2 linked regions of the Schizosaccharomyces pombe genome follow. The protein of the gene in region 1 interacts with the protein of each later gene in a pairwise test. Each region holds a gene or a part of one and is shown in the gene's direction. Other genes may lie near its edges. The genes, in order: sec62 and sws1.

The links.
Region 2: the proteins of sec62 (region 1) and sws1 interact in a two-hybrid assay, tested with the Schizosaccharomyces pombe proteins (one large-scale study listed by BioGRID).

Annotation. Positions count from the first base shown.
Region 1 is NC_003424.3:3,595,203-3,611,720, forward strand, and holds sec62 (translocation subcomplex subunit Sec62), read left to right. Parts: upstream 1-8,872; 5' UTR 8,873-8,889; coding exon 8,890-9,711; 3' UTR 9,712-10,343; downstream 10,344-16,518. Other genes in the region: protein farnesyltransferase beta subunit Cpp1, read right to left, coding at 1-1,143; bro1 (vacuolar protein-sorting protein), read right to left, coding at 1,270-3,597; rps2401 (40S ribosomal protein eS24), read left to right, coding at 3,901-3,969, 4,039-4,374; SNARE protein Use1, read right to left, coding at 4,985-5,653; FYVE tethering component Pep7, read left to right, coding at 6,677-8,287; SWI/SNF and RSC complex subunit Ssr1, read left to right, coding at 10,596-12,179; ghs2 (glucosidase), read right to left, coding at 12,627-14,537. UniProt on the Schizosaccharomyces pombe protein: Acts as a component of the Sec62/63 complex which is involved in SRP-independent post-translational translocation across the endoplasmic reticulum (ER) and functions together with the Sec61 complex and bip1 in a channel-forming translocon complex.
Region 2 is NC_003423.3:1,492,865-1,497,906, forward strand, and holds sws1 (SWIM domain-containing Srs2-interacting protein 1), read left to right. Parts: upstream 1-1,965; 5' UTR 1,966-2,091; exon of another isoform or gene 2,092-2,153; 5' UTR 2,154-2,287; coding exon 2,288-2,917; 3' UTR 2,918-3,147; downstream 3,148-5,042. Other genes in the region: random septum position protein, DNAJ domain protein Rsp1, read right to left, coding at 205-1,689; aminophospholipid translocase regulatory protein Ivn1, read right to left, coding at 3,232-4,155, 4,378-4,516, 4,575-4,627.

The DNA of each region.
Region 1 (16,518 bases):
TTTTGATGATTCTTGTGACAGAAAATATGATTTAATTCTTTCTTCAAAACCAAAAGGAACACAGTAAATTGGATGAGCCGGTAATAAAGAGCTTAAAGAGGAGTGTAAGATGGAAGGTTTATAGGACCAACCATCAGAAGTGTGATATCTGTAGTCATAAGCAATTGATGATAACCCTAATAGACAATAACAAGTATGATATTGATCAGGCCGTTTTGGTGGTTTGTCACGTAAACCGCCGCTTGTACTCTGGCAACATTGAAGAATATATCCTAATAATTTTTCTGGATTATAAAAAAGGTTAGGCAGGCTTTTATGAGAAGCCGAACCATAGCCTGAAGCCACAATCACATGGCTAGCACCGACCCACCAACTATAACAACCATCCACTAGCTTGTTAGAGCGACCGGAAAATCCGTAAAGAGCAGGATCTTGACGTTGTACAAGCCAAGTGCTAAGTTTTATTTCATTTAAATTGTCAAGACCTCCCAGCAAAGCAATTGCGGCAAGGGCACAAAATGTATATCCGCCATGAGCCTCGGCGTAAGGGACACCTGAAAGACCTCCCTCATAAGTTTGGCACTTGCAAAGCCATTGCAAGGTACCCTCAAACAGAGGATCGTCCATACTGATTCCCACTAAAGAAGAAACACATACAGCTGCATAAACGGATCGAGCATCCGACTCTCCCTCATTATTAACTCGAAACGAACCATCCGGATTTTTTAAAGAGAATAACCAATCGTACAAACGATCGCGCTCTATCAAGGAATATGCGTCGGTGGAGTCACAAAGACATATACTGAGTATAGAAGCATAAGTACTCAATAAATGTTCATCTTGTCCATTCCCACCACAAAAACCACCACTAGGCCCTTTCAACTGTCGCACACTGCTAATAGCCCGTTCACAAACAGAGCTGTCAAGTTTGCCTAAAATTGCCAATGAACTTAGTTCCCAATAAACCATCCAAGCCCTTGATGCATCCAATACTGTAAAGGGAGAAGGAAGAGGATCTAGCATTTTGGTTAAATACTTAAGATGCTTTTGCAAATTGAACGATTGACTCTCGCCGTTCAGCAATGGAAGAACAGCTGTAGCCGTTTCGTTTTGCATAACTTGCGTTTCTGATAATTCATCCATCTTTACTAACTTTAACGAAAGAGTCCGCTCACCAAAAAGCTTTATTAATTATAAAGTTGTTGGACTGGTTTACTTAAACACTAGAAGACAAAGAACCTAAAGTAACAGCCAAATTGTTACTTGGCGCTAGATGTGAAGGTTTCGCATATTAGAGGAAATACTTGTATGAGAGGAGCTCGAAGATGAAAGTTTTGAAAGACATGTGGCACCCTGTTTCCTTCTTAAAAGTAATTGCTCTCCTAGGGTCTTATTAATTTCGGCAAGTCTCTGTTCAACAGTTTTATAATATTCAAGGCCCTTAGATACACCTTCCGATATAGCTTTAGCCGTAAGAGAAGAAGAAAGCAAATTAGAACATAACTCTTTATTTTTAGAAAATTGGTTATTGTATACTTCCATCTTTCTCAAAAATTCCGGATTTTGTTTCAACTTTTGTGTAACATTTCTCATCTCATTCAATAGTAGTTGCTGTTGCCGATAAGATGCATGTAATCTATTTCGCAAGGGGTCAAACTTCTTTAATTCTAGTTCAAAAAGCTGATTGGTATCGAGTGCAGAGTCCTTCCGCTTACTATTTTGCATGAGAGACTCAGAAATATCATCTTGCAAACACTTTTGCTGTAAAGCCTGTAAAGTGGTCTGCCTTTCAGGAACTAACTTTTGAACTCTGGATTGCAATTCTTCTAACAAGTCAAGCTGTATTTTCATATCGCGCTCTTGCTCCTCCTGCTCAATAGGAATATCAAGTAAGCTTTGACCAGAATTATCAGTTGAGGAAATGGACGATTCTAGTAATGCGCTAATTTTGGAAGAGTTACACAACGTTTCTACATCATCTTTTACTAAAGCATATTGTTGGGATATAGCGGAATCAGTAGCGGAAGCCTCTGCCAAGGTCTTCAAGTAATTGTTGAGTTCACTTTGATAAGGAGCGGCAAACTCTAAGCTATCTGATAACGTCCACGAGGGTCCAAGTTTCGCCTTCATCTTGGCATTTTCATTGGCTTCCACTTCTAAGTCACTCTTAATTTTCGCTATAATTTGCTTCAACTTTGTGGATTTTGCAAACAACTCGTGAATTTTAAAAGTAGGATTAAAAGAAATAAGTTGGGAACGAGCTTCTATAAGTTCTTTCGGAATAAAGTTCGTTTTGGAATCCGAATGTGTGATTTCTTGAAGCCGGCTAAGGTCTAAGGAGGCGAAAACCGTTGCCATTTGGGTGTTTTGTCGTTCTACTTCAGCTTGTTCAGCGCGAAACACTTTGGCAGTCTCCTCTGAATACAGCGAACTGGCGGTCGTAACGGCGCTAGGCACAAAGGCCTTGAACAAATCATCTCCAACAATTTTTTTTGCAGTTTCAAATCCATCTTGACTTCCATACAATTTCTCTAAAGGAAGTGGTGGTAGAGCTTGCAAAGGAGATATTTTTGGGAGCTCAACTTCCTTGACTACAAGATCATGAAACACAAAGTCATTATCTTTCTCAGCAGTTTTTAACAAATGAGACAAGGAGGATTTGATGAAGGTAGAAATGGTCTGAGGATAGTCAGAAAGACTAGGCTTATGAATAAAATCAGTACTCAACTTTATACCATTGAATAACTTTTGAGCAGACGAAAGAATTGACTTAGCTTGTTGTAAATATCCAATAGCAAGCCCTTGTTTCGATTTTTCCAACTGAGCGCGTGCCATAAAATAAGAGGAAAATCCCTCAAGGGCGGCCTTTTTGGCAGAAGCAAGCCGTATGAAATTGGGATTGCACGCCGGTTCCATAGATTCAAATGCGTGTACACAGCTATCATATAAAGTAGCTGCCGAACTAGCAATCTTTGCAGCCAACGAATAGTTCATGTTAGAGTCACTAGCTGAAAAAGACATATGTCCCAAGACACACTCCTGTGCTTGACCCAAGAAAAGATTGTAAATACCTAGTAAAAAATTGGAATCTAAATCTCTTCCAGGTGCATGAATGAAAGATTCGCGTAAGAGTTTGGCAATACCGCTAGCGCATTGTAAACAATTGGCGGCCGCCTTATAATCATCCACAGTGTAAGCAGATGCATGATTAGCAGCCATTCGGGAAAGCAATGAAACCAAATTGAATAAAACCGATGCTTTTTCAAAGGCAAGAGAAGATTGCTTGACGAAATCTGCATCGGGATCTAAGATATCGCTCCACTCAAAAGAAATGTTGATTCCATTACCACCAGTGGGAAATCGGAAAGACAAATAGTCAAGTTGTCCGTAATAAGAATACAAAATATCCTTACCAGCAACTGTGTCATCGACGTCTGCTGCGTTTTCTCTCAAAGTGTTGAACGCCTTAATTTGATCTTCGACATCAACACTATTTCCATATATTCGAGATACGAACGTAGTAAATGGCTCAACCCAATCTGAATGCTTTGTTTCCTTTTTATTTAAGTAAAAAAAAGGAGTAGCAAGTTTCTCCATCCTTTAAAATTCCTTATAAAAGAGCCAATGCCCCTATAGTTCTATGCACTCGACAAGCTGACTTAATTGACTAAATTCAGTCAAGCCAACGATGCACTAATCCTCGTTAAGACAAGTGAAGGAATACCTACATAATTTTCTATTATATTTACAAGTCCCTTTGATCTCCTTAAAGCAATATACCGTTGTTTGTGTAGTTACTCAAGTATTCACTATTCTTTCTTTGTACCACATCTTGTGACTGCCTTCTTTGGGGTAAAATTTTGGAATTCGTGGGCGCTAGATAGTTGTATTAAGACCAATATGAGTGAGGCGGTTACAATCAGAACTCGCAAGTTTATGACCAACCGCTTGCTTCAGAGGAAGCAAATGGTATGTATTTTTTTGCTTATAAGTTCTTTACGATCAGACGTGGCATATACTAACATGAGGGCGTTTTAGGTGGTCGACATTTTGCATCCTGGCAAGGCCAACATTTCCAAAAACGATCTTCGTGAAAAATTGGGTCAAATGTACAAGACTGATGCAAGTGCTGTCCAGGCATTTGGTCTTCGTACCCATTATGGTGGTGGAAGAACCACTGGTTTTGCATTGATTTACGACGACGTCGAGGCCATGAAGAAGTTTGAGCCCCATTATCGTCTTGTCCGTGTTGGACATGCCGAGCCTATCCAAAAGGTTGCTCGTCAACAACGCAAGCAACGTAAGAACAGAGGCAAGAAGGTCTTTGGTACTGGCAAGCGTCTTGCCAAGCGCAAGTCTAAGCAACAAGACTAGGCAATCTTATTTTTTCTTGGTTCAGAAAAATAATTTTCATAAAGTAATGAGATGTATTCACTTGATGGAAATGCATTGTTGTATTCGAACGGATTTAATTACGTGTTGCCTAAAATAATATTGTTCAGCTTTCGTGTGAACAGTAGTGAATGAAGTAAATAATCTTCAATAACTAGAGTTTGATCTCTAATATAATAATTTTTGAACATGCGGTATATGTTGTATTTTATGATAGTTTAATAGTTTTGTAATGTAATGATGTTGTTTCTTATTTACTAAAAACATAAGAGTTGAGGGCAGTGTCAATTGATAAAGGAATGGGCTAATATTGACTCAGCTGTTGGAAAAAGGTTAAATGAAATAAAACAATGGTAAATTGCGTATGCTTTGGTTATTCAATTTACTTATATCATCTACGCATTGATCTCAAATACAAAAAAAACATGAATACGTTCGAGTAAGAAAACAACTTGAAACAACAATAATGGTTGTGTATCAAAATGTATATTAAAAAGAAACGGGTGTACTGTTACCACTGCGATAACTTAAGGGGAAAAAAATTTATCAACAAAAGGAAGCAGTCCGAGAATTCTTTACGAAAATAAAATAATTAATTTTGATTTTTGGTAAACTGTAGGATAAAGATCATCACGATAAAAGAAACAACTACAGCAATGATCATTCCTAACTGTAGCCAAAAAGACAGCCTTTTTGACTTAGAGTAGCTTTGAACACCGTGGTTGGCATGTCTCAGACTGTGGGCATTCTTGTCGAGTAAGCTTCCTGTACGCTCTACCACTTGATTATCAGTTACTAGAGCATTTGTGAAAGATAAAGCGTTTTCTTTTAGAACAGATGCCAAATGCAAAAGTGACTCAGATATCTCAGTTTGCATTGAACGCTGGTTTGTGAGCAATTGGGCATTGGAAGCTTCGACATTCGACATCTGTTGTCGCTCTCTAAGCTCCCTTTCTTGAATACTCTGAAGAGCATGCGCGATCTCCTTCTCTTGTTTACTTTTTATCTTTTTCTCTTCAATTTTCAGCTTTTTTTCCATGGTAACATTTAAATCATAAATCCTACCCTGTAAATCCATGATTCTCTTCGAAAGCCCTTGAGGTTCAGCAACTTTGTCAAGTTGGCATTTTCCTTCTTCCCATAATAATTTCCTTGCATAATCAAGATTCTTTTCAAATTTTAAAAGTTCCAATGGGTCTTGAAACTCATCACGTTTCAACTTGAATTGTCGCTCCAACCTACTGATCAAATCTTTACTCATTTTAAAGCCTATGGAGTGAGCATTTCATAAGAATATCTCTCTCCTATAAAGAAAGTTATGTAAAGCGCTTTAAACTGGGGTTCCTGATATTTTATAAGTAGTTTGAGTTGAGTAGGTTATCAGGTGCATGTCATCTTATACACATACTAATTTTCACCTTGTATGAGTATTTTGGGTTTCAGAGTAGACGATTATAGTATTTTATATATTATTCATTTATAAGGATGTACTAACATTTAATTAAAACCGTATTTCTCTTTGAATACGTATTTTTGTACCAAGTGCCTTGACTATAAAATGCTATTTTAATCTCAATCTAATGAAGTATGAGAAGCTTAATAATCCTTATGTTAAAAGAATTGCATGAACCGTAATGCCTTAACTTAAAGGTGTCAATAAACATTAGCGTATTTACCTTACTATATATTTCAAGTCATGGAGGATATATGTTGTAAATAAACTTGACAGAATCTTTAAAAACGCAAGGATCTTGAGTTGCATTCCTTGCCATTGCATTGGCAAATTTTGAAATAACACTTATAGTACGCAAAGACGACCAGGCTGCCTTCGTGTTAGATTTTTGATAAAGCGATCTTTCTTCTTATTTAAATAAGCACTGCTAAAGACTACATACCTTGTAACTCCATTTGTCGTTATTTCAATTTATTCAGACCGGATGTTTTCCTGAATTGAAAATTAAACAAAATTGCAGTCTAACTCTTTAATTATTTGATCAGAGGATTTGTGATTTCTTTAGAATCTCTCATAATTTTATTTTAAACAACTTAATTTATTAAATTTCTAATGTTTGTTTATTCTGTGTTTAGCATTCCACCAGGTTAACCAGTTGTCTACTCTTCTAACAGTGATAATTCTTACCGTCAGGCGAATTCAGCACCTTTGCAAGAGCAAGCTCTGTGTAATAATAATTTATAAACTTTAGCTACTTTTAATTATATAGCCACTGAAAAGGCTTCAATTGCCTGAAATTCTCGTCTAAAAATCAAGTTCAGAGGGATTACTATGCAAAATGGTAAAAGACGTATTGGAGTCCGAATTTCTTCCAATTTGAGCAATCATTCCGGGACTAATCTTTCTACTAGTGCTCAAAGTGATTCTTCAAATATCGTTAAAGCCACTGAATGCCCAATTTGTGGGCTGGAATTACCAAATTTGTCAGCATTAAATGATCATCTCGATGTTACTCATTTCAATGATAATGAAAAAATCCACAAGCGACAAGATTCCATTAATTCATGGCTAACAAGGACTTTAAATGGTGCTTCAGCTCTGCAAATGAAAGCCGCTCAACGTCTTTGGAGAATGGAACCATATGAACAGAATGGGGATTCATCAGGTGCTGTCGGCCTTGAAGCAACTAAGCTCACAGATTCCTTGGTTGTCAAAAATCACTGGCAACCAGAGGTTCCTGACATGGTCTGCCATGACCCGATGTGTGATAAGCTTTTAAATTTCATCAATGGTCATATTCATTGTCGTAAATGCGGTTATATCTTCTGCAACTTTCACTCAATGTACCAGATCAAACTCAGTATTCATGCTACCTACGACTCTGAAAATGGATTTTGGTGTCGTGTTTGTCGAGAATGTTATGAAGGACGTCCTGGGTATAATGATTCAAATGGTTTAATTCGCTCACGTTTTCAAACATTCGAAACTTTTCGAAAACCTTTAGCTGATAAAAGAAGAATAGAGTTTTTAAGATTAAGCAAACGTATGAAAAAACTTGAAGAGCTATGGACATCGGAAAATGTCTCGATGCTTGATGCGCTTCTTTTGAACAAGGCTAAAAGGCTGGAGCAAAGCATCGTTCATTGGCAAGATGATTCCGTTGTACAAATTTGTCCTGAATGCAACAATTCTTTTACTCTAACTAGAAGACGCCGGCATTGTCGGCTTTGCGGACGCGTGATCTGCAGATTCTGTGTATTAGAGATTAGTCTTCCTCAACACCCGCAACCTCTCCTCATCTGTATGAGTTGCAATCAAAATTATTTCCGTAACGTTCTTTATCAAACGGAAAGATCGAAATCACTTGGCTACATCCGACATATTGAACACTTGCAAGTTTTTAGACAGGCTATGGTAAATTACTATCGACTTTACGAGGATTCTTTGTCTGAATTACTAAGTGGTGAAATAATCACTGAAGCGACCCTGAAAATAGTAAAAGATAGACGAAAAAAATTTCTTGAGCTATGTGTGAAATATGATGGAACTATGAAAAAAATCGCCAATCATCCCTCATCCAATGATGCTGAAGAACAATTTAAGCAGAATGTTGTTAATGAAGCAAAAAGATATTTACAAGAAACCATATTGCGTTTGCAGGCCATTCCTTACCATTTGCAGGTTGGCCAAGCTTGGACTTCTGAGTCTGAACGTGAGCTAGAAAAGAAGAAAGAGCAAGTTGAAAAGAAGCAAGAAGAGTTGATGCAAACAAGAATAGTTTTAGAGGAGCAAGTTTTCCTCGTTGAAAATATGATTGAAGATGCTAAAGCGAAACGAAAGTTTTCTGAGGTAGAGACTTTACTCTCCAGTCTTGCACCTTTGCATGAGGAAATTCATTCAATCACTGAAAAGATTCATGACTTGGATCTTTTTGATATTTGAGGATTTTTTCAATAAAGGAAATTTGACTTGTTTAATGATGCTGTTTCACTTTTATGTAATCAAAATTTCCTAGTTAATGTGTTGCGAAGGTTAGTCATATGATGGATGAGTGAATAATTGTATAGATAAATATTTATTGATGAAATGAATTTGAAGACTTTGCTTTCCTCGTCGAACAGCAATGAATGTTATCAATTAAGTTGAATAGGAAGAGCATCTTTTTTAGAGTTAACTTCTGAAGATTAGTATTCCTTAATCAGTGCTTTACTCTCCCTAATAATCAAATATTTTTTTCAAGTGTTATAGTATAATTAAGTTATGAATATGGGGCACAGGCACAAAAATTTAAGACTGAATTAACTTTTTGAACTATCCAACTTTACAAATTTACTTAAAGAATGAATCAATATTCGACAGCATGATAATAACAATGATTAAACTAAATGTAAAATTTATAATATAGATTTTCCCAAATCTATAATACTGAATTTTGATTTTGGCTTTACCTCGTGACCTAAATATCGTTACCTTAAAGACGTGTACAGACTTCATCTACTCCAGAACCACATTATTTTAGATTTTTCCAAACAAGGATTTTGCCTATGGATTCTTCTAATGTACCAGTTTTGAAGGATGAAGACAAGTGCAAGTTTTCGATGCGCTTTACAAACTTCCTCAAGTCTCGCCCTGAGCTGAAAACAAAGCCAGCGATCCTCAATGGAAAACGTGTATACTACTTTCGTGTGAAGCGTGTTCTTCGCTTTTTAACATCCGAAGCGTATACGCCTAAGAAATACAAAGGGTTTCCAGAAATTTCAAGCCGTGAGGAAGCAATCGAAGTTCTCAAATTGCTCATTATGAATTCGATGCTGGTTCGCGTTGATAAACTCCCCCCTAAACAAAGAAAGCAGAAGCTTGTAGAATTACAGATAAATCGTAATCAAGATTTTCAAGACGATATGCATTATGTTTGGCTCTACGAGCCTCTTCCAAAACGCGTTATGGCTTTGGCAGTACTGTTCGCTCTTGTCGTATTGGCACTCGTTTTGTTCCCCTTGTGGCCAATGTTTATGCGCAAGGGTGCTTGGTATTTAAGTATGGGAGGCCTTGGAGTAATCGGTCTATTCTTTGTTTTGGTTATTTTACGTTTTTTCTTATTTTGCATTACTGCTGTCATCGTGCGCCCTGGCATTTGGCTATTCCCCAATCTTCTTGCCGACGTTGGCTTCTGTGATAGCTTTAAACCTTTATGGAGTTGGCACAATTCCAAATCTGAGGTAAAGAAGACAAGGAAATCCAAGAAATTGTCAAAAAAAGCCACTTCACCAGCTGCTTCTGCAACTCCTGAAAAGTCTTCTACGTCCACCACTTCTTTAAAGAATTTAAGGCACAGAAATCCTACCGTCGAAGAAGTCTCTGAATAAAAATTAATTGTTGTACCGTTGATGAATCCAGTCACTCAGCCACTATTACTTACTTTAAAAAAAAATAGTGCATATCTTTACGTTATCAATTCTCCTTATACAATTTATTTCGTCTATGTTTTCGGAGAAAGGTTCTTTGAGATTCTAAATGTGTTTTCCAAGAAACCTTGGCGTTCTCATTTTATGCCCAAACGTATACATATATAATCAGTATATACTAAATGAGGACACTAAATTCTTTTGTGTTTCTTATTGTTACGCATTTTAATTACGGCAAGTTTGTCAGTCAATGAATATTTACTCTTATTGACACACAATTCTTGCTTAACCCATTTATATGAAGCGTTTTAATTTATGTACCACTCCTGGTAGGTGGTTTGATAATTCCCTTATTCTTTTAATCTCAATTTATAACACATTTGAGCGAAATTACTAGATTCTTAGCTTGCTTTTCTCCTTTTAAAGCTAGTATAGCATTTCCTCATGACACAAGGAGTGCATTCTTACTATAGTTGGCTGATCACATAGGAGTGATTATAATTACAAGTTCACTAATATTCATGGTATAAATTGTCATCATATCATATGATATTTAACTTCATATCAATAAATTTTACTTTCCATATTGAATATTTTCTCAATTCTTTAGTGTATAGTGCGTTTGCTGTATATTTCGTTAACCAGACATCGTCATTCTAAGTCAACTCCCACTACCTACTAATTGCAGGGCATTTTAAAAAAACTTGAATTTTCAAGGTATCCCTCAATCATATAGGGTAATACATATTATTTTTCGTTGATTAAGTGCATTTTATTGACGTGAAGCTTTTAAAGCCCTTGGCGTTGAGGATTTTGTAAATATTATACTAGACTCTAACACCACAATGTCCAACGTTACTGAAAATAAACATGACTTACACGAAAACGGGGTACCAGATTCTGCTCAGCCAATGGAATTGGATGTTTCTAAAAAGGAGGACACTGAACCAGAAGTCAGAGACGAGGCCAAAGAATTTTTGTTGAGCCAGTTACCACAAGTAGAAGTCCCTGAGTGGGCGCAATGGTTTGATTTCTCTAAAGTTCACGAAATTGAGAAAAAACAAAACCCTGAGTTCTTTGATGGAAAAAATACGTCGAAAACACCAGAGGTATATAAGGAATACCGAGATTTTATGATTAGTACTTTTCGATTGAACTCCAAAGTTTATTTGACTTTCACGGCTTGCCGAAGGAATTTGGCTGGTGATGTATGTGCTGTCTTGCGTGTCCATAGATTTCTAGAGCAATGGGGATTAATCAACTATAACGTTAACCCCGATACTCGGCCTTCGAAAATAGGTCCCCCTTCCACAAGTCATTTCCAAATCCTTGCTGATACTCCTCGTGGATTGGTACCACTTCTTCCACCTCCCTCTTCTTCAATTCCTCGTTCCAAAGCTGTTACCATTGAAGATCCTTCGATTGTCCGAACAAATATTTATGATCCCTCTCTCGACGATGTCTTAAAAGGTAAGGGTTCAACTCCGAATCAAAAACCAAGCCTTTCGAACCTTCATGAAAACAACATTGATCAGTCAGATTCTCCACAGCATTGTTACTGTTGCGGTAATAAATTTAATGAAAGTTACTACCAATCTCAAACGGCCCAAAAATATAACGTTTGTATAAGTTGCTACCAACAAAATCGGTTTCCTTCACCGACCACAATTGCTGATTATAAGGAGGTCGCAATACAAAATAAAATTGAAGATGATGATACATGGACTGCACAAGAACTTGTTCTTTTGTCAGAGGGAGTGGAAATGTATAGTGACGACTGGGCAAAGGTTGCTTCTCATGTGAACACAAAAAGTGTTGAAGAGTGTATTTTGAAATTCCTTAATCTTCCTTCTTCCGACAAAGCTTTATTTAAAATGGACAAAGTGCATACCAATCCTGTGGTTGATTCTTTGCAGGGGAAGAACCCTATTTTATCCGTAGTCTCTTTCTTAGCCAAAATGGTACCACCTTCTTCTTTCACACAGAAAAGCAGCGCAAAAGAGGAGGAGTCGGATAAAGTTAAAGGTGAATCGGTTTATCCCAAACCAGAGTCAGAAAGTTATGATGTCGAGATGAATGGTAAATCATTGGAGGACTCTGATAGTCTATCAGAGTTATATCTAACTAATGAAGAAAAGAAAATGGCTTCTATTATAAAGGATTCTGTTAACGTGCAAATTAAGCTAATTGAATCCAAGTTATCTCATTTTGATTATCTTGATCAGCACATTCGTCTTAAATCCCAAGAATTAGATGCCTTTGCACAGGCAACTTATAGGGAAAAATTGTATATGAAACGAGAGTGTCAAAATGCCCGCAAAAAAATAGAGCAACAACTACAATCGAAGGATACTGCCGCAAATGGTCTACCAGTTCAAAGCTCCGCTGAAACTTCTGTTATCCCAGCTTCTTCTATGAGTCCTTCTTAATAATCTCAACTAATATGCTTATCGGATAAAAATTTATTAGGCTTTTATTTAAATGAATTTTTTTTTTATCTTATCTTAATGTCTTTGACATATCTAGTTTACTCAACTTTTGCGGCCCAAGTTCGGGCTATTCAGCTTGATCTCTTAACATTCGGCTGATTGATAGATTGACTAGAGAGCTATAGCATTCTAAGGGCAACAATTTTAACGTACTAGTATATACCAGTTGTTATCAAATTTTGAAAGTAAGGTCAGCTCAAACGTTGTGTAAATCCTTTGTGTCGTATGTTAAATTATGCAACAAATGAAAGAACTGAGAGAAAAGAAAGAAGGGACTAACTAATGGTTTATGTGAAACTCTATGAAAGTAAATGAAAAGAAATAAAGAATGAAGACAAAATGCCGCTTAATATGGATTTCGCAATCCTTACATTAAAATGAAGTTTTTCAACATCCGTCCATGAGTGAGTTTTTGGGGCGAACATATCCTGCTTCTGACCAACTGGTTGCATTATAATTTAGGTAGGCTTTAGGATGGTTCGCAATATATTCAGTAGTAGGGAAACCTTCAGGATCACAACCAAGCACGCTACTGGAATCAGAAGAGTCTTGATAAATTCTGACATAATCCACATACATTGTTTGAGGAAACGTTAATTCGTACCAATAAAAATAAATCCAAGTAGGAGAAATACCAAAGTTAAGGACGACGATCATGGGTTCTTCACTAACAGGTCGAGAAGCTATGTTTCCGTTTTGGCCCACAGCTGGTTGACGCATTGTCCATGTATACTCATCACCAACAAACCAAGAAATAAGCGCATCCGGACCACTTCCAGGTTTATAATCAAAACCATACTTTTGATAAGCATTACCGCTAAGCCAAGAATTATTTAATTGACTAGCACAAGACAAAGCCTGCTGATAAACACCACCGGCCCAACCGTTCATTGCTGAAACACTTTGATTGTAGATGGTAACGAAATCGTAATTGGGATACATATAGAGGTCGAAAGGAGCATATTGTGCTGATTGAGAAACGACAGGCATGGTTTCCAAGTAAATAGATCCATTGTAAGGAATACCACTGCCGAATGTACCTTCCAAGGCATCAATTTCAGGTCCTCCACGACCTGTACCAACATTGGGATGATCTTCACCCTTACAAACACATTGGTTTAAGCGTTGTCCACCCAAATATGAAATGCCACTAGGATCCGACTGATTAGGAGTAATTCCGGCATCACATGAATTATAAGAATAAGGCCAGACGCCATCAGATGTTGCAAGGTATCCTGGACGAACCAAATTACCTATAGTCCAAATACCTGGCCAAAAACCAGGAATATAAGGGGAGCCTCCTAAGGATGCAGATACCTCGATTCTACCACCCTTAAAGCATAATTTATTCCAGGTGGTAACCATGCCGCTACGGAAATTAAGATCATGATTGTAAAACGCATCCATACGAAGACGAAGTGTTCCGTTTGCCGTAGTGGGCGTATCAGCGTCGTAGTATTCATAATCGGTAGTTGCAGCGTAATGAAGGTCAGTTGCTAACCAAAATTGGTCATCGCCGTCATAAAATGCACGACCAGGGTAATTAAATTCATCAGAAAAAACAAGATCCAGAGTACCTAAATCCTGAGAATCAAACGTATAAGCACTTTCGGGGGTATCAGGATCTATCAAGCTTCCATAACGTAATAAACGTAAAATCCGAAATTGATGATTTGTAATACCAGTAACACGAGTACTAGCAAGTGAGTTATGGCCCGTGTATGTAAGAATGGGTAATCCAATAAACAGCATACCTGTCCCAGCAGCTAAAAAGAGAAGAAACAAGAGTTGCATTAATCCTTCTCCGCCTACGAAATAACTTAACTTTTTAGCATCTTTAGCGGGCAAAGGATAATGGAGAAAATCGTCAATTTCTTTATCTTCTCTACTCAAAGAAAAGTCGGATTCACCAGCGGTAGGACCGGCAAAAGCAACAGCCTCCAGTTTATTAATATTTTCAATATCATCAACTATGCTATTGTTTTGAGGTGAGGTAGAATACATATCTGATCCTGCGCTATTTCCACCGTTAGGATATCTATTATATGTCTGAGAGCTGGGTCTAATAGAGAATCTATGGGTATAGCCACTAGCTCTTGTTCCGCCGACACCGGCTGCCAAGGCTGCACTGCTAAATGTAGCGTTGGAGGCATTGTTGTACAACAGACGAGTAGAGGAATCGGTGGGATTTGTGAAAGAAGAAGTACTGGTGTCTCTCGAAGCGTACATAGAACCAATCTCATTCACGTTACCATCCGAAGGGGTTTTGCGATTTAAATCGCCACGTACATTATACATGATAAATCCAACGAAACCAGTTAAATCCCAAGAAAGAAGAACAAAAATGAATGAAAAGAAAGCTTAGTTAAAGAAGATTTCGCGCTTAGACACGTAACCACAAAAAGTCTTCGCTGAGTTGTGACAGCAAATAGTCTTCAAAATACTTCCAGCAAGTAAAAAAAAAAAAAAAACGTTAAACAAAAAACAAAAAGAATCTAAAGGAAAAAGATGATGAGCCTCAATCTCGAGAACGAAAGCTAATTCACTTGAAAATTTTCCTTTTTCTTGTAAAGTGCTCGAAAGCACTTTTCGCGTAAACGCACAAAGTATTTAAAAAATAAATACAAAAGAATGAATACTTGTAGCGATTTTGGAACGCTGGTGTACCTCACCAAGGTGGAAATACGGAAAGGTAGTATATAGGACTAGGCAAACTCCAAATGGTTGTTTGCGGACAATAGCGAGGCAAAGTCGGCGGAAGTTTAAAAAGACTTGAATGAAAGAACAACTAGGTATTCTTTTTACAGATTAATAAAAGGAACAGGATTTTAAAATGGATAGTTAACCTTCCAAGTGTTGAAAAAAAAATTAAAAACAAAAGCCAAATTAATGACTTAAAAGTCCAAGTAACTTTTTTGAAATAAAGTTTGGTCAGTTCATAAAACAAGTATTTTCTTTTTTTTTTTTTTTTTTTGAGAAAAAAGAGGATTTGTTTACAGAAAAAAACAGGAAAGCAGAAAGACAGCGGTTTGAATAGCACAAGCTGAACTAGCTTATTTATAACGAAATTTTAAGTAAATACTGGAGACAAAGGTTAGTTATCCTCCCCCAATAAGATAACTGAGAAAAAGTCGATTAAGATAAAATTATGGAGAGAGAAATCAAAAGAAAGAAGAAAGGCCTAAAATAATAAGAAGATTGTATAATGACTATGGATTACTACTTTAAAATATATCTCTTAATATCACAGTATATAAACACTCTTGACTATTAGTGTGGAAATTGATGATGGATTGCAAAGAAAAGATGAGCGGATAGTTTCTAGAAAAAATTTTGGAATTCAAAAGACGAAGCAGTGATGTAAATAGCTTTTTTGCAGAGTTTCTTATGTTGAAATTGAATAATTACATAGAAACTTGAAGGTTCAAGGTTCATAAAAACGGAGAAAATGGGATATAATAGCAAATAAAAGAGAGAAACAGATATTATGTTTGTTTTTTAGAAAGAATCTCAACAAATTACAGATATTTTGATTGTATTGGAATACTAAACAAAAAAATATGTAAGTAAATAGTCAAGTGAGCAAAGTAGAACAATGCTGGCCACGCGTTAAAGGGGGAAAGGTGGTTAGCGAAGAATGGAATGTTTTCAACTCATTATTGCCATTCTACGAATATAAAAACACCTAAATTGTAAAAAAAAATAAAAAAAATAAAGCAAGCAAGTTTAAGTGATAAAGGAGGAAGCTAATTAGTTATGAAATTGAGAATAATTTTTGGTCTTATTCAGAATTAATAATAATTCGTCTGTTCCTAAGTGAATATAGAAAGCAGACTCCAAACGTGCGTATCCAAGCGCATTCTATTACTTTTATTTTAGTAGGTAAATGATAAAAAGTTCAATTTGAGGCCGCTTTTGATGCATCAACATTTTGCGACAATTTTACTTAGGAATTGGCTACCGTTAACGGCACTCAGAATTGTTTGAGGATGAGGCTCTGATGGTAAACAATAGATGGCGGTGCTCAAAAGATGGTATGAAGAGGTAATTTGTAGCGCGTTTGAGAAAGAGAAGGAAAAGTATTTCTGTTTTACAACATCTATGAAAGAGCATCCTGTTATGTTGGCCACATTGAAAATGTCAACCTATTTGAGGTCCAAATTAAACCCTTTTCAACATTTGTAAATATTTCATGGGTTTGAGATTTTCATTTAGTACAATATTACTATACACTTGTCAGAGATATCTTTTACACCATATGTGTATTTGCATCGAGCAC
Region 2 (5,042 bases), on another chromosome or scaffold:
TACAATTCGCTCCCTGAGTAAGCTATTAAACACATGCCCTTTTTACAAAGTCGTTGGTTCTGGTGTATGCTTGAAGTATGGGTAAGTGAACTGGGTAAAAAATAATATTAATAAATTGAATGTTAAACGTTATGAAGAAGAAATAAAATTTTCAAATAAAAATTTTAATACTAAATTTAATACTTAATGAGGAAATAATAATCATTATATACCAAAAGATGCGAAAAGGCTTTCCTTTAAAGATTGTAGTTCTTCCAAAGCTCTCAAATGCATTTGTTCATATGCATAAAATAACTGTATAGCTTGTGACCCTTCCTTCCAATTATCAATTAATCGTGATTGTCCAGGAGTATTCATTAAGTCGAGTTGGAAGCATTTATTTTTGAAGATTTGCCATTGAAATGCATACTGTGTATAAATGATAGAATAAGACGACCAGCGTCTCTGATACATTTCAAAGGAATTTAGATAGCTATCTACAGAGGCATTAGTCAGGTTTCTCGGTGCCTCTGGAGGGATGGGTGCCTGGATAGTTGGAACGGATGGAGGTTTGGGCAGCACTTTAGCAACTTCATCATCATCCCCTTCAATGGCAAGGGATCTCAGTATCGACTGAAGCTGGTCATCATACTCAGTCGAGTTAGATGTTGAATCGTTCTCTGCGGACAAGTCATTTAGCTGAGACCGAGTTTGATTTCGAGAAAGAGAAGAAGATTTAGAACGACTTAAGGGCTTAGGGGGTAAAGGTTTAGAAGTGGGATGTCTAAATGGAATTTCAGGTTTTGATGGTGAATTATTATCAGAATGCTCAAGTTTTATTTCAGGTGTGATATCAGTTTGATAAACGGATGGGTGCTCTGGAGTGTTTGGAGAAGTAAAAATAATAGATTCTTCAGATGTATCTTTAAAACGTTCATTATTTGATGAAGAAGAACTTCTTGGAGAGGATTTTGTTATTGAAGAATTTTCAACACCATTGGAATTCAAACCATTGGATATCTCAGACAACGGAGTATAGGTGCGTCGCTTTTCACGAAGCGATTCTAAATACAACTTGGCATTAAATTTATTATAGTTAGGGCCTTTAAAACGAGGACTACTAGAAATTGGATCCACCACGTTTTCAGTAGCATATCCATTCTTCTTAAAAATTGGAGACGTTTTTGGATGCAAATAACCAGATGATATGTAGCTTTTTGAGGTAGATACCTCTTTAAAGCTATTGTTCTTTTCCATTTTTCCGGAAGCGGAAAAAGATCGATGAAGTGAGAAGTTTGTGATATTGTTATCTTTCGAATCTACGTTTTCCCGGTCTTGTTTCTTCTTTTTTTCAGCAAATTTGGTAGCCATTGTGACACTAACCTTGGATGCAACTTTCGTGGAAATATCATTCTTTGGTCCACTTTTTTTTGGACGGAATCGCAGCACCCCATCAGGGCGACCGGCTTCTAGTAATCTTCTTTGATCAAATAACTCTCGAAGCTTTGGATCCTTTAAAACTTCATGAGCTTTTTGTATCAACTGAAACTGTGGAAGAACCTCGGCTTCCCGACCGGGGTTACGATCGGGATGGTATCGTAAAACAAGCTTTAAATATTGCTGTCGAATTTCGACATAACTACTGGTACTTTCCGCTCCAAGGATGGTGTAATAATCCACAAATTCATCATGAAACGCCGTCCTCGCCATTCACGAGCCTTTAAAATATGCGACACCTTTCTTAAAAAGATAAAAAAGTTTGAAATTGGTTTATAAAACTTTTAAATTTCACCCAAGTAATGAAACCTTTGTAACTAACCGATTTTTGAGGTTTTCCTGAAACTGCTCGAAATAGTGTTTTCGACTTAAATTAACTTGTAAAACGTTCGTTCCTTTTTCTTTATTTTCGCAAATATTAGTTAAGAAAAATAAAACGAGTTAAAAATTTTAACGATTAAACTCTACTTTGTATCTTCTATACTTGACTAGAGCAAACAAAGACACCCCTCGAATTTGTGATTTTTACAACTTCATTAGTTTATAGCTTTGCTACGTGTTTTCCGCTTATTAGAACAAGCGAAAGCAAAGCAGATTTTTGCTGTTTTGCTTTTGGTAAGAGTTGATGAACAAAGAAGTAGTGATACTTTGAAACGAATTTGCTAATCTTTTTGAAGAGCCTATTCAATCATCCAAACTTGTCAGCATAAGTCAATAAATTAGATTATTATCTTCATTGTCATCAATTGTGTTTTCTGGATGTTGTTTGAGCTTTATGTTTTGGGGCATTGCTGAGTCTTAATAAACTTCAATGCAGCAGGGTCATTTTACTTCGAATAGTTACCACAGTAAAACTTTAAATAGTTCATCTCTACCTGTATCTTCAAAATTTTCTCACACTAATGATCCTGATGTTGAAGGCGTTGACAATGATAGTTTCTCCAAGGCATTGTGTAACAAAGATTTAGATCCTTCTTCCACTATTCGTTCAGTTATAAGCTCTTTATTAGATTCTTTACAAGATAAAGCGCTCCAACAGTCACCCAACACCTCTTTGTCAAAATTACTGTTGGAAGACCAGGATTTTGGAAGCTTGTGGTTGTCATTAAGTTTTATATTTTGTAACTACTGGCAACCTGCTATGCTGATTTTGGATTCTAAAAGCATTCATCCACTACCATTAACCGATGGTGAAGTTTTACATCGATGGGAATGTGAAGTGGATTCGAATAATAAAACTACGATTGATTTGAAGTATTGGTATTGTTCATGCTCTCAATTCTCTTACAATGCTTTTAATAGCTCGAGATCTTTTGACGAGCCAATGCCCAAAAATGAGCAAGAAACCTGGGGTGGAAGATGTCTTTCCCACCACCCTACGATTTGTTCCCATATTTTAGCTGCTTCGATTTTACGTGCTTGCCATAATCTGGTAATTTAAAAAACGTTAACCCAATTCGTTTAATTGTGACTTGACTATGATATTTAACAGTAAGGGCCGTTTAAATTGCTTTCTCAATGTAAAAGAAGAAAATACGATATGATATTCATACAACGTGATTAAAAAAAAATGTCTTATTCAGATTATGTTATGCTTTAGTTATGATGCAAGTTCATGAACCCTGAACTGGTATAAAAAAGAGAATATTGTAAGTGGAAGACGAAGCTAGCATAAGTGATTAAATGGAAAGTAAATTCCAAAATGTTCATGAAGTAGTATATGTAAAAATAAATGGTAAAGATACTCAAATTCGTTTATGAGCTTTTTCCTCTATTCCAAGATAGATATCTTGGATCGCCTACGCGTCTAGGTTTGATCAAGCAAGCAATACTAAGGATTACACCGCTCGCGGCGCAGAGCCCACCGATAACAAAATAAAGAATTCCTAAAAAGTAGTTCTTTCCTCCAATAACGGATGTTGTTGAAAACATAATAGTTTTCGTTCCTTTATATTCTGTGACAGGAAAGTTATAAGTGATATTCATTTCATAAATGCCAGGTTGAAGTGCAGTAGTAACGTTTCGAAGAGCAAGTTTGCTGAATGTTGGAAGAGCAGCAGCTCTCATCCAAATTTGAAAGGCATCCCATGTAGAAACATCGGGAATATTGTCGTCAGTATATCCATTGGGAAACATTTTTGCCCAATTTGGAGGTGGAACAATTTGGGAAGCATTGTACTTAGTTTTTTTGTATCTTTCTCTATCTTCCGGCCACGCAGTACCATTTGTAGTCATATTGTAAAGTCCAAGGGAATTTGAGCTATCAAAGGATTCGTATCGTAGAAGAGAAGAATAGCTATCGTTGAAAAGCGAGTTTGCGATAATGCCACAGGGGTAATAAGGTTTCCCTTCCTCATTTGCTTCTAACGGCTTGCAGAAACCATAGCTCTTCAGTTGTGCAACAGTTCGTGCTTCGCCTAGCAACTGAAACATATCGGCGCTAACAGTATATCGACGATGGTTTTGATAAAAATTTTTGAGACGATAAAAAGCAAACACGGGACTCGTCATTTCCTCAGGTATTTGGAAACGAAGAGTACATACATCGCCTGATGATTTCCACATCGCTGTTACATTTTTTACATTTTTATATTGGAACTCAATATTCGTGGAAGGAACTTGTTTAAACTCATCGCCTATATTCATGCAATCAGTATAGTCAATTCGCAGCTCTTTGACCTAATAAAATGTTGATTAGCAAATGATCTAGAAAAAATGATATTTTCGGTAACGTTCGGGCTACACGTGTGCTAACACCGACAAAGGATAAGGCTATAATCAGATAAAAATTATTCGCAAATAATCATATCTTTCCAAAATACAGTAATGTATTGCAAAATATACCCAGTTTATCAATTTGAAACATATAGCTCTATGGAAACGCGTGATGCTTAGACTTACCCGTCGACTGGCCACAAACATGCCAGCTCCCAAAGGAGCAAACACTATGCCTAATAAGAATAATAACGGCAAGACTGTCCATGGTGTGAATATAAACTGCCAAGCAGGAAGTGTTTGCTGAACAAACCGAGATTTGTCACTACATACGGATCAGTAAACCAATTTGCCAAAAAACGAATGTAATCAAGACAACTTACGGGCGCTTAAATCTCTTATGCTTTGGTTTTTTAACTATTTCTGTTTGACTCATAGTATATAATCAGGCATTCAACAATGCTTACGAATATGAAGAATGCAAGATTAACTTGGTCCTTGGTAAAAGTGCGAGACTGCGCAAAACTCCATCATCACCTTACTCTCTCGCTGTCACTTGGGTTAGCAGGTTATATGACACAATTTATATGTAAACACAGAGAAAAAAGCATTGATTACAAAAGATATCAAAGTTATTTCATAGTAAATAACTCGTATAGTATTGATTTCCTAAAAGCATTTTTTTTTTGGGTGAAATTTTGAATGACTTATTAAGTTCATTGCTTATAATCGTATATGAAATCGCTAATAGCAGCTGCAGTGAATCAATAAAAAACCTTTCTTATTTTTAATTATGTTAATTATAATTTTTTTGTAGCCGTTTATACACAGTATTCTTGAAAAGATTATTT